Macaca fascicularis: one gene and its partner. The protein of the gene in region 2 interacts with the protein of the main gene of each other region in a biochemical or structural test. Links are inferred from orthologs where the notes say so. Each region holds a gene or a part of one and is shown on either strand. Other genes may lie near its edges. The genes, in order: DAPK1 and KLHL20.

What was found.
Region 1: the proteins of KLHL20 (region 2) and DAPK1 are reported together in a solved structure, tested with the Homo sapiens proteins (2 studies listed by BioGRID and IntAct, with this or other methods). The link is inferred for Macaca fascicularis from reciprocal best matches to the Homo sapiens genes KLHL20 and DAPK1.

Annotation. Positions count from the first base shown.
Region 1 is NC_088389.1:118,065,259-118,069,079, reverse strand, and holds part of DAPK1 (death-associated protein kinase 1), read right to left. Parts: intron 2,084-3,821; coding exon 1,954-2,083; intron 1,788-1,953; coding exon 1,739-1,787; intron 1,649-1,738; coding exon 1,622-1,648; intron 1,135-1,621; coding exon 982-1,134; intron 631-981; coding exon 585-630; intron 1-584. UniProt on the Homo sapiens protein: Calcium/calmodulin-dependent serine/threonine kinase involved in multiple cellular signaling pathways that trigger cell survival, apoptosis, and autophagy.
Region 2 is NC_088375.1:31,337,117-31,340,937, reverse strand, and holds part of KLHL20 (kelch-like protein 20), read right to left. Parts: intron 3,372-3,821; coding exon 3,213-3,371; intron 1,941-3,212; coding exon 1,846-1,940; intron 1-1,845. UniProt on the Homo sapiens protein: Substrate-specific adapter of a BCR (BTB-CUL3-RBX1) E3 ubiquitin-protein ligase complex involved in interferon response and anterograde Golgi to endosome transport.

The DNA of each region.
Region 1 (3,821 bases), on a different chromosome or scaffold from region 2:
TGCCCCCAAAGCCTGTTTCTGTGATGTTCACTTCTTTGTTTCATGATTTTATTCTGTAACTATCATCCTTTACCACCCCTAATCCTTTCTGCCCTGGATTGAAGCAACTTTAATCCAAATGTCAATCAGGCCAGGCAGGTAATGTAAAGGTGTAATGTTCCAGGGGACCCTGTTCCCCAGCACCAAGGTGCCTGTGCCACTTCCCAAGGCCATGTGGAATGAGGGCTCAGTGTCAGCAGATCTTCAGATTTCCCAAGAGAAGCTGGAAATCCAGATTTGATTGATATTTACATGCTGGAATCAACATAAAATTTTAAATATACTGTTTGGGCCAACACCCCACACGTCACTCCAAACATAGTTGTTGAGTGGGCTTGACCTTTTACAATCCTGCTCTGTGCTGGCTTATTCCTCTTTCCCCACCTCTGGGATTATTAGGATTTTCTTAAAATATGATGCAAATAGCAAACTTAACACTCCAGGTGTGACCTGAGGTTAGCAGTACTCTAAGACACACGAATACCAGGGTGCCCAAACCAATCACACAGAAGGTGATCTAAACAGTGAAGTAATATGCAACTCACCTTGATCCAGGGATGCTGCAAACTATCTTGAATTGTCATTCTCTTCCTTGAGGGGAGGGGGAGAAAGGAAAAAATGCTGTGACCATAGCAGCAAATACTAAGGTTGTTTTCCTGCTGGCTGGGCCTGCCGAGCAGACACTCTGGAAAATGCAGTTCAGGGAAGAAAGCCAAAAACGACATCGGTCTTTTTGTGATTATTTCACTGTGCCTGCAGGGACCGACTGAGCGGGGGCAGAGGGCCCTGCTTGCATTTTCTGAAGCGCTTCACACGGCATGCTGCCCTTTGGCAGATGAAGCAAGCAGGGTCTGAGAAACGCGGCCCTGTGTATGGAACAGGCACAGGCTCTGGGCTGGCTGAGGCCGTGGCCAAGCACCTTTCAGGAACATGGACACTCACTTTGGATCCTTGACCAGAAGTCTTCTTATGAAATCTTTGGCTAGGGCACTGGTATTACTGAAGTATTCATCCTCAAATTCATAGTTGACAGCGGACACATTTGCTAACGTTTCTTGCTTAGTGTCTCCAAGAAATGGGGAAGCCCCACTTAGGCTGTTAAAAATAAAGTTGGGCACAGAACATTAATGATGACCCCTTGGTGTTGTCATTTTGCTCCTATAACATCTGGAGTGTGGAATAAGATTATAATCTGGTGCTTGAATAATCACTTGAGAGTTTGATTATATTTCATAGGGCTTTAACTGTCAGGACCAAAAGCTTCAGCTTCGTGCAAAAGGATTCACTTAACAAGTTAATTTGGAACAGCATCTGGTAGTTTACAGGAAACCTGTTTTCTCGGCAGTGATGGACAGCTATGCTTTCTTTCAGTGATTATGCTACAGTTTCTGATGACTCATTTCAAATTAGGAGAACACGTTTAATTAGTATAAACTAAACATGTTTTGGGGGTGTAAAATGAATATGTTTACATCAAAAGCATGCATAAGCTGAAGAGATCAACACAGCACATTTAATGGTTAATTAAACCTATGGTCTCATAGAAGAGAAGAGAGTATGAGTTGTGAATTCTGGTACTTACAGGATATAGGTTATTACCCCGATACTCCTAAAAACAACACAAAACAAACAAAAGAACACATCAGGAGAATAGTCAAATAAATCAGAAAGAAAACAACACCAAGGACATACTCCTTACCACATATCTGCCTCAAGACCAAGAGGTTCATAGTTGACTATCTCAGGAGCTAAGAGGAAACAAACACTCATTTAGCTTGGGAGGAAGCAAACTAACCAATTCTATCTTCATGCAACAACCAGGAACATGGAACGGGGAAAGAATCTTCCAGCAGGGGAGGTTTGCCAGAATAATGTTTATGAGATGTAAATGACCACAGGAGCAAAGGAACTTACCGACAAACTCTGGAGTCCCAAATATGTTTTTAAATTCATTGCCAAAGTCAATTTTATGGGCCAACCCAAAGTCAATGATCTTGATCCGAGGTTTGGGGACATTTCTATCCAAAAGCATTATGTTCTCAGGCTTGAAAAAAGAGAGAAATAAAAAGCTATGATACGTTATGCTGAGGACAAGATGGCAGAACAGTTCTTCTCTTCCCACCCCCAAAAGGAGAAAAAAAAAAAAAAGGCCAAAAATTAGGGAAGAAAGGGTGGTTGAAAGAGTACACCAGGAAAAGAGTATACCAGGGTGGTTGAAAGAGTACACCAGGAAAGAGTATAGCAGGGTGGTTGAAAGAGTACACCAGGAAAGAGTATAGCAGGGTGGTTGAAAGAGTACACCAGGAAAGAGTATAGCAGGGTGGTTGAAAGAGTACACCAGGAAAGAGTATAGCAGGGTGGTTGAAAGAGTACACCAGGAAAGAGTATACCAGGGTGGTTGAAAGAGTACACCAGGAAAGAGTATAGCAGGGTGGTTGAAAGAGTACACCAGGAAAGAGTATAGCAGGGTGGTTGAAAGAGTACACCAGGAAAGAGTATAGCAGGGTGGTTGAAAGAGTACACCAGGAAAGAGTATAGCAGGGTGGTTGAAAGAGTACACCAGGAAAAGAGTATACCAGGGTGGTTGAAAGAGTACACCAGGAAAGAGTATAGCAGGGTGGTTGAAAGAGTACACCAGGAAAGAGTATAGCAGGGTGGTTGAAAGAGTACACCAGGAAAGAGTATAGCAGGGTGGTTGAAAGAGTACACCAGGAAAGAGTATAGCAGGGTGGTTGAAAGAGTACACCAGGAAAGAGTATACACAGAACCATTTTCCTAAGGTTCTGTGTTCACCAATGAGAGGAGGGGCAGAGACAAAACATTGTGAAGAAAATGTCAGTGTATCTTTAAAACATTTTAATTAAACGTATGTAGAGGTGATGTCTTAACTCTAATGACGAGAAAAAATCTGCAAGCCAGCTTTGTACAGAATTCATAGGGTATATCTTCTTATTTCAAGAAGGAAATACATGTCTTGCTCTAGGTTCTCCCTGAAGCAGGCTTGAGACAAGGAGGGGACACCAGGAAACACTTGGTAGGGGAAGGAGATACGGGAAACAGAAGGAAGCTGCTATGAAGTGTCCTATCAAGGTGGGGGTAACTAGGGGAATGGGAGACGAAAAGGAGAACTCGGTGTTATTCCAATTGTAGCATGAGGGAGCTGGGGTCTTTATCTCTCCATCTCTCCATCCTCCAAGGCTGACAGCTGCTTCTGTGGAAATTTTTCTTTTGCATTTCCAGCTCCCAGGGCCACAAACAAGATGCCAGAAAGAGTCACAGGTATTTGCAGCAAGCCCTCTTTTAGGTTGTATACGAGTGTGTGTCTTTTCACATGTTTGTGGGGCCGGGGGGACATGAATGGGACACTGACAGCTCTGCTACAAAAAGAATGGGGACAATCCTCCCTCCTCTGAAATCCTGTCCCAGCTCTACGGGTCTGAATCATCTCCTCTGACAGAGCGCACACTGCTTTACCAGACCACTTCTCGCTGCCTTGAACTGGAGCTTCTCACCATTGCCACTTCCTGTTGCTCCTGTTGTGTCTTCCCTTCCCAAAGAGACCACACCTCTGTCATGGCTGGGAGGACGGCTTACACGCCGTTTCATCTCCAACTACGTCCTGCATCCAGCCAGGCAAATGCCCCAATTAGCCAATCTGAGTTTGGTTTGCTTGCTTATTGGTGACAGAGTCAGGCCACAAGCCTTTGCATCACTCAACACATTTTCTATCTTAACCTGCCCAGAGCCACAGAAGGAACCGGTGCCAGTCACTGGCTGCTGGC
Region 2 (3,821 bases):
AATTCACTATCTGGTAACATATGAATGGTTTACTCTCAACAAGTCTACTGAGACAAATTTCCTGTCTTGTTAAGATACTTTAAGAGAAGAATCTAGTAATTACACTTGTAATTACTTTGCCATGGCTCACGCCTGTAATCCCAACACTTTCGGAAGCTGAGGGGCGGGTGGATCACGAGGTCAAGAGATCAAGACCATCCTGGCCAATATGGTGAAACCATGTCTAAAATACAAAAAGTAAAATACAAAAAGTAGCCAGGCATGGTAGCGCACACCTGTAGTCCCAGCTACTCGGGAGGCTGAGGCAGGAGAATAGCTTGATCTTGGGAGGCGGAGGTTGCAGTGAGCCGAGATTGTGCCACTGCACTCCAGCCTGGCAACGGAGTGAGACTCCGTCTCAAAAAAAAAAAAAAAAAAAAAAAGACTTTGACCTCCTAATAGTTTGTTAGGTCATTTGAGGGTTCCTAGAAATAATACTATAGAGTTATAATATTGAGCAAACCAACACAAAATTAATGGTAGCAACAAGACTTACAGCTATACGCTAGTCATGGTTTTAAGTGCTTAATATATATAAACTCATTTAATCTTCAAAACAGCCTTATGGAATAGGCACTATTATCATCCTCACTTTATAGAGGAAGAAACTGCAGCACAAAGAAGTTAGGATATCAGGAAGGGTCTTCTTTTAAATGTGACTTCGTAAGTACCTTTACTTTCTGCATCAGAATCAGTACAATCTGATTTACGTTTAATGGAGGAGGGCATCTATGTATTATTTCTTCAGATTTCAGCATGTATAATGTATATGGTTTTCCTTTTTGCTACTGCAAATATTTAGGGAGAATTAATTACCATTTGTCTGTGTTTTAAATATAAAAGACAAATATCTAGTTTAACTCTAGTCCACGGTAAAGGGAAAAACAATGATTAATATAAAAAAGATATAATAAAATAAAATAGAAACATCTAAAATCCCCTCCAGCCTCTCCTGTTAAAAGAACAGGCTTTAGTTTATAGAAGAAATGTAAGTGAATCTACATGTCCTACCACCATTCTAAAATCAGGGATCATTCTAAATGTCTTTAATCACCAAGGGAGGTCCAAAGGTCAGTGTAGTTTAAAAAGTTCTGAGTATGGATTTTCTCTTTCACTTTTATATTTGGGACATGCTGGGAAAAATGGTTAAAAATCGCAGATTTCAGATTTGAACCTAAATCTTAAAATCTGTCAAATTGGGAATGTAATTTATTACATTTTGTATATACTTTAGAGACAGCCTAGTAAAACAGGTTGCCTTTTTTCCCCCCCTTTGTAAAAGTAGTTGGAGTTTCTTTTGTCAAAAAAATTCTGGAAACTGCTTCACCTAGTTCTAGTGAAAATCTTTCTACAGCTATTTTAGAAGGTGGCAGATCTTTAACTCTGTCCACAATTTAGAAAGCAAGGCTGATTCTATTCCCCAACCAGACATATGTGATGGAAGGAAAAAATGTTCACTGACAGAGTCAACATTTTCAATTATCTCAAGGAAAAAAAAAATATTAGCAGAGAATTGACTCTTCAAATTCAAGCCTGCATCAGAATCTTGGAAATCTACCTCTTTATTGCCACTTCTACACCAATAAGCACCACACATAAAAAACTAACGGAATGGAACACTGGAAGTTTAGTTCTCTCTTCTTCCTTTTCCTCCTCTTGACCCTAGCTCAGAAGAAAGTCTTGTTAAATTAATGCCCTGATTTCAGCTCTACAAAATACAACATTTAGGAAGCAATATAAATAAAGAAATTAGGAAGAAATAGGAATGCTTAGTTGTTGATTTTTCCCATCCAGGGTCACTCATACCTGCATTCTTCATCACTTTTGATGAGGGGATCAGAGCCTACTGTGCCCACGAGGAACTTGGGACTAAGCAAAGGCAAACGAACATGCTGCAGCACCTATGAGAAAATAAACACCATTATTTTAATTAATTAATTTTGAGATAGGTCTTACTTTGTTGCCCAGGCTGGAGTGTAGTGGTGTGATCATGGGTCACTGCAGCCTCAACCTCCTGGGCTCAAGTGATCTGCCTACCTCAGCCTCCAGAGTAGCTGCAACTACAGGTACATGCCACCATGCCCAGTGAATTTTTGTATTTTTTTTTTTTGTAGAAACAGGGAATCACCATGCCGCCCAGGCTGGTCTCAAACACCTGAGCTTAAGCAATCTGCCTGCCTTATCCTCCCAAGTGCTGGGATTATGGGCTTGCACCACTGCACCCAACGAATAACACTATTAAAGGCATGAGCTCTCATCTATAAGATATTTAAGAGAATACATGACCCATGGCACCCTACTGTGCTTCCAGCTGTTTTGGGATCTCACTGAATACCATAAATAAGGAAGGCGGGAAGGCGTAACTACTAAAAATGTTCAGCAATACATTATAAGCTGGACTCAAATTAATTCACAATCCGGAAGAATATCTTGTTGAATTGCTAAAGACTATAGTCACAATAACGAGAATGGGTCTGAAGTGAACTACTGATCGCTCAGTGACGACTGATGCATCATCTCTTTACTCTTGAAAGTGTGGTACTATTTCCAAGTTATATTGAAGGAAAACTGTGGTAGGATTTTCAAGCTATAGAAAAGAAGCATCCTTGCTTTCTTTTGTTCATTTTCTACAATTTAAGTTTTGAATTGTGCTATCATTCAAAAGTAGAAATATGGAGAAAGCAAAGGAACAAAAAGCCCACATTAATAAGCAACCAAAATGCTTCTAAATACTTATTTCCTTGATTATTTGGAAACAGATGGACTTTCTTACAGACAAATGTAGAGTGATAACTGTTTTATGTTTGCATGACAATACATATTATCTCATCTAGTACTAAGTAGTTTCTTTTTTTTTTTGAGACGGAGTCTCGCTCTGTCGCCAAGCTGGAGTGCAGTGGGGTGCAATCTCGGCTCACTGCAATCCCCGCCTCCTGGGTTCAAGCGATTCTCCTGCCTCAGGCTCCCAAGTAGCTGGGACTACAGGCGCCCACCACCACGCCCAGCTAATTTTTGTATTTTTAGTAGAGACGGGGTTTCACCATGTTGGCCAGGATGGTCTTGATCTCTTGACCTTGTGATCCACCTGCCTCGGCCTCCCAAAGTGATGGGATTACAGGCATAAGCCACCGCGCCTGGCCAGTAGTTTCTTAGAGAAGCATTTTTATCATTACCTGGGGTAACTGAGGACGTCTTTCCTGAATACTGTATTTGACCCAGGCCATCACTGCATTGAACACTTGTTCTTCACTGCGAACGTTTAGTTCATCACTGGATATTATATCAATGAGTTGATTGGCTGGAAGCAACATGAACTCTTCACTCTCCATTACCTGTTCAAAGTTAGGTAAGAAGAAAAAAAAAATCCTGTGATCACATTTATTGTCTCAATGTTTTTCTTCAGGGTTATGGGACAAAGCTGTATTCCACAATGCACTGAAGTTTAAAACGATACCAGAGGAAAAGAAAAACTTATAAAGAGAACAAAGGAAGGTACAGAAGACACCATTAAAGTTTAGTAAAAATAATCATTTGTGATTCAAGCAAATTAGGAAAAATGACTTAAAAAATAAATGATCAAAATAAAAATTTATATTCAAAATAAGCGAAATTAACTATACCAAACTATAACTCCAGATATATGAGGCATATAAAAAGTCAGGAAAAGCTTTCAAAAGAAGATTAGTTGCTGAATAGGCAGTGTCTAGGGCAGAAAAACCAAGGGGTCAGTTTAAAAAAAGAATAAGAATGTTAGCAGTTCTGTAAACAAGAATGAATATAAT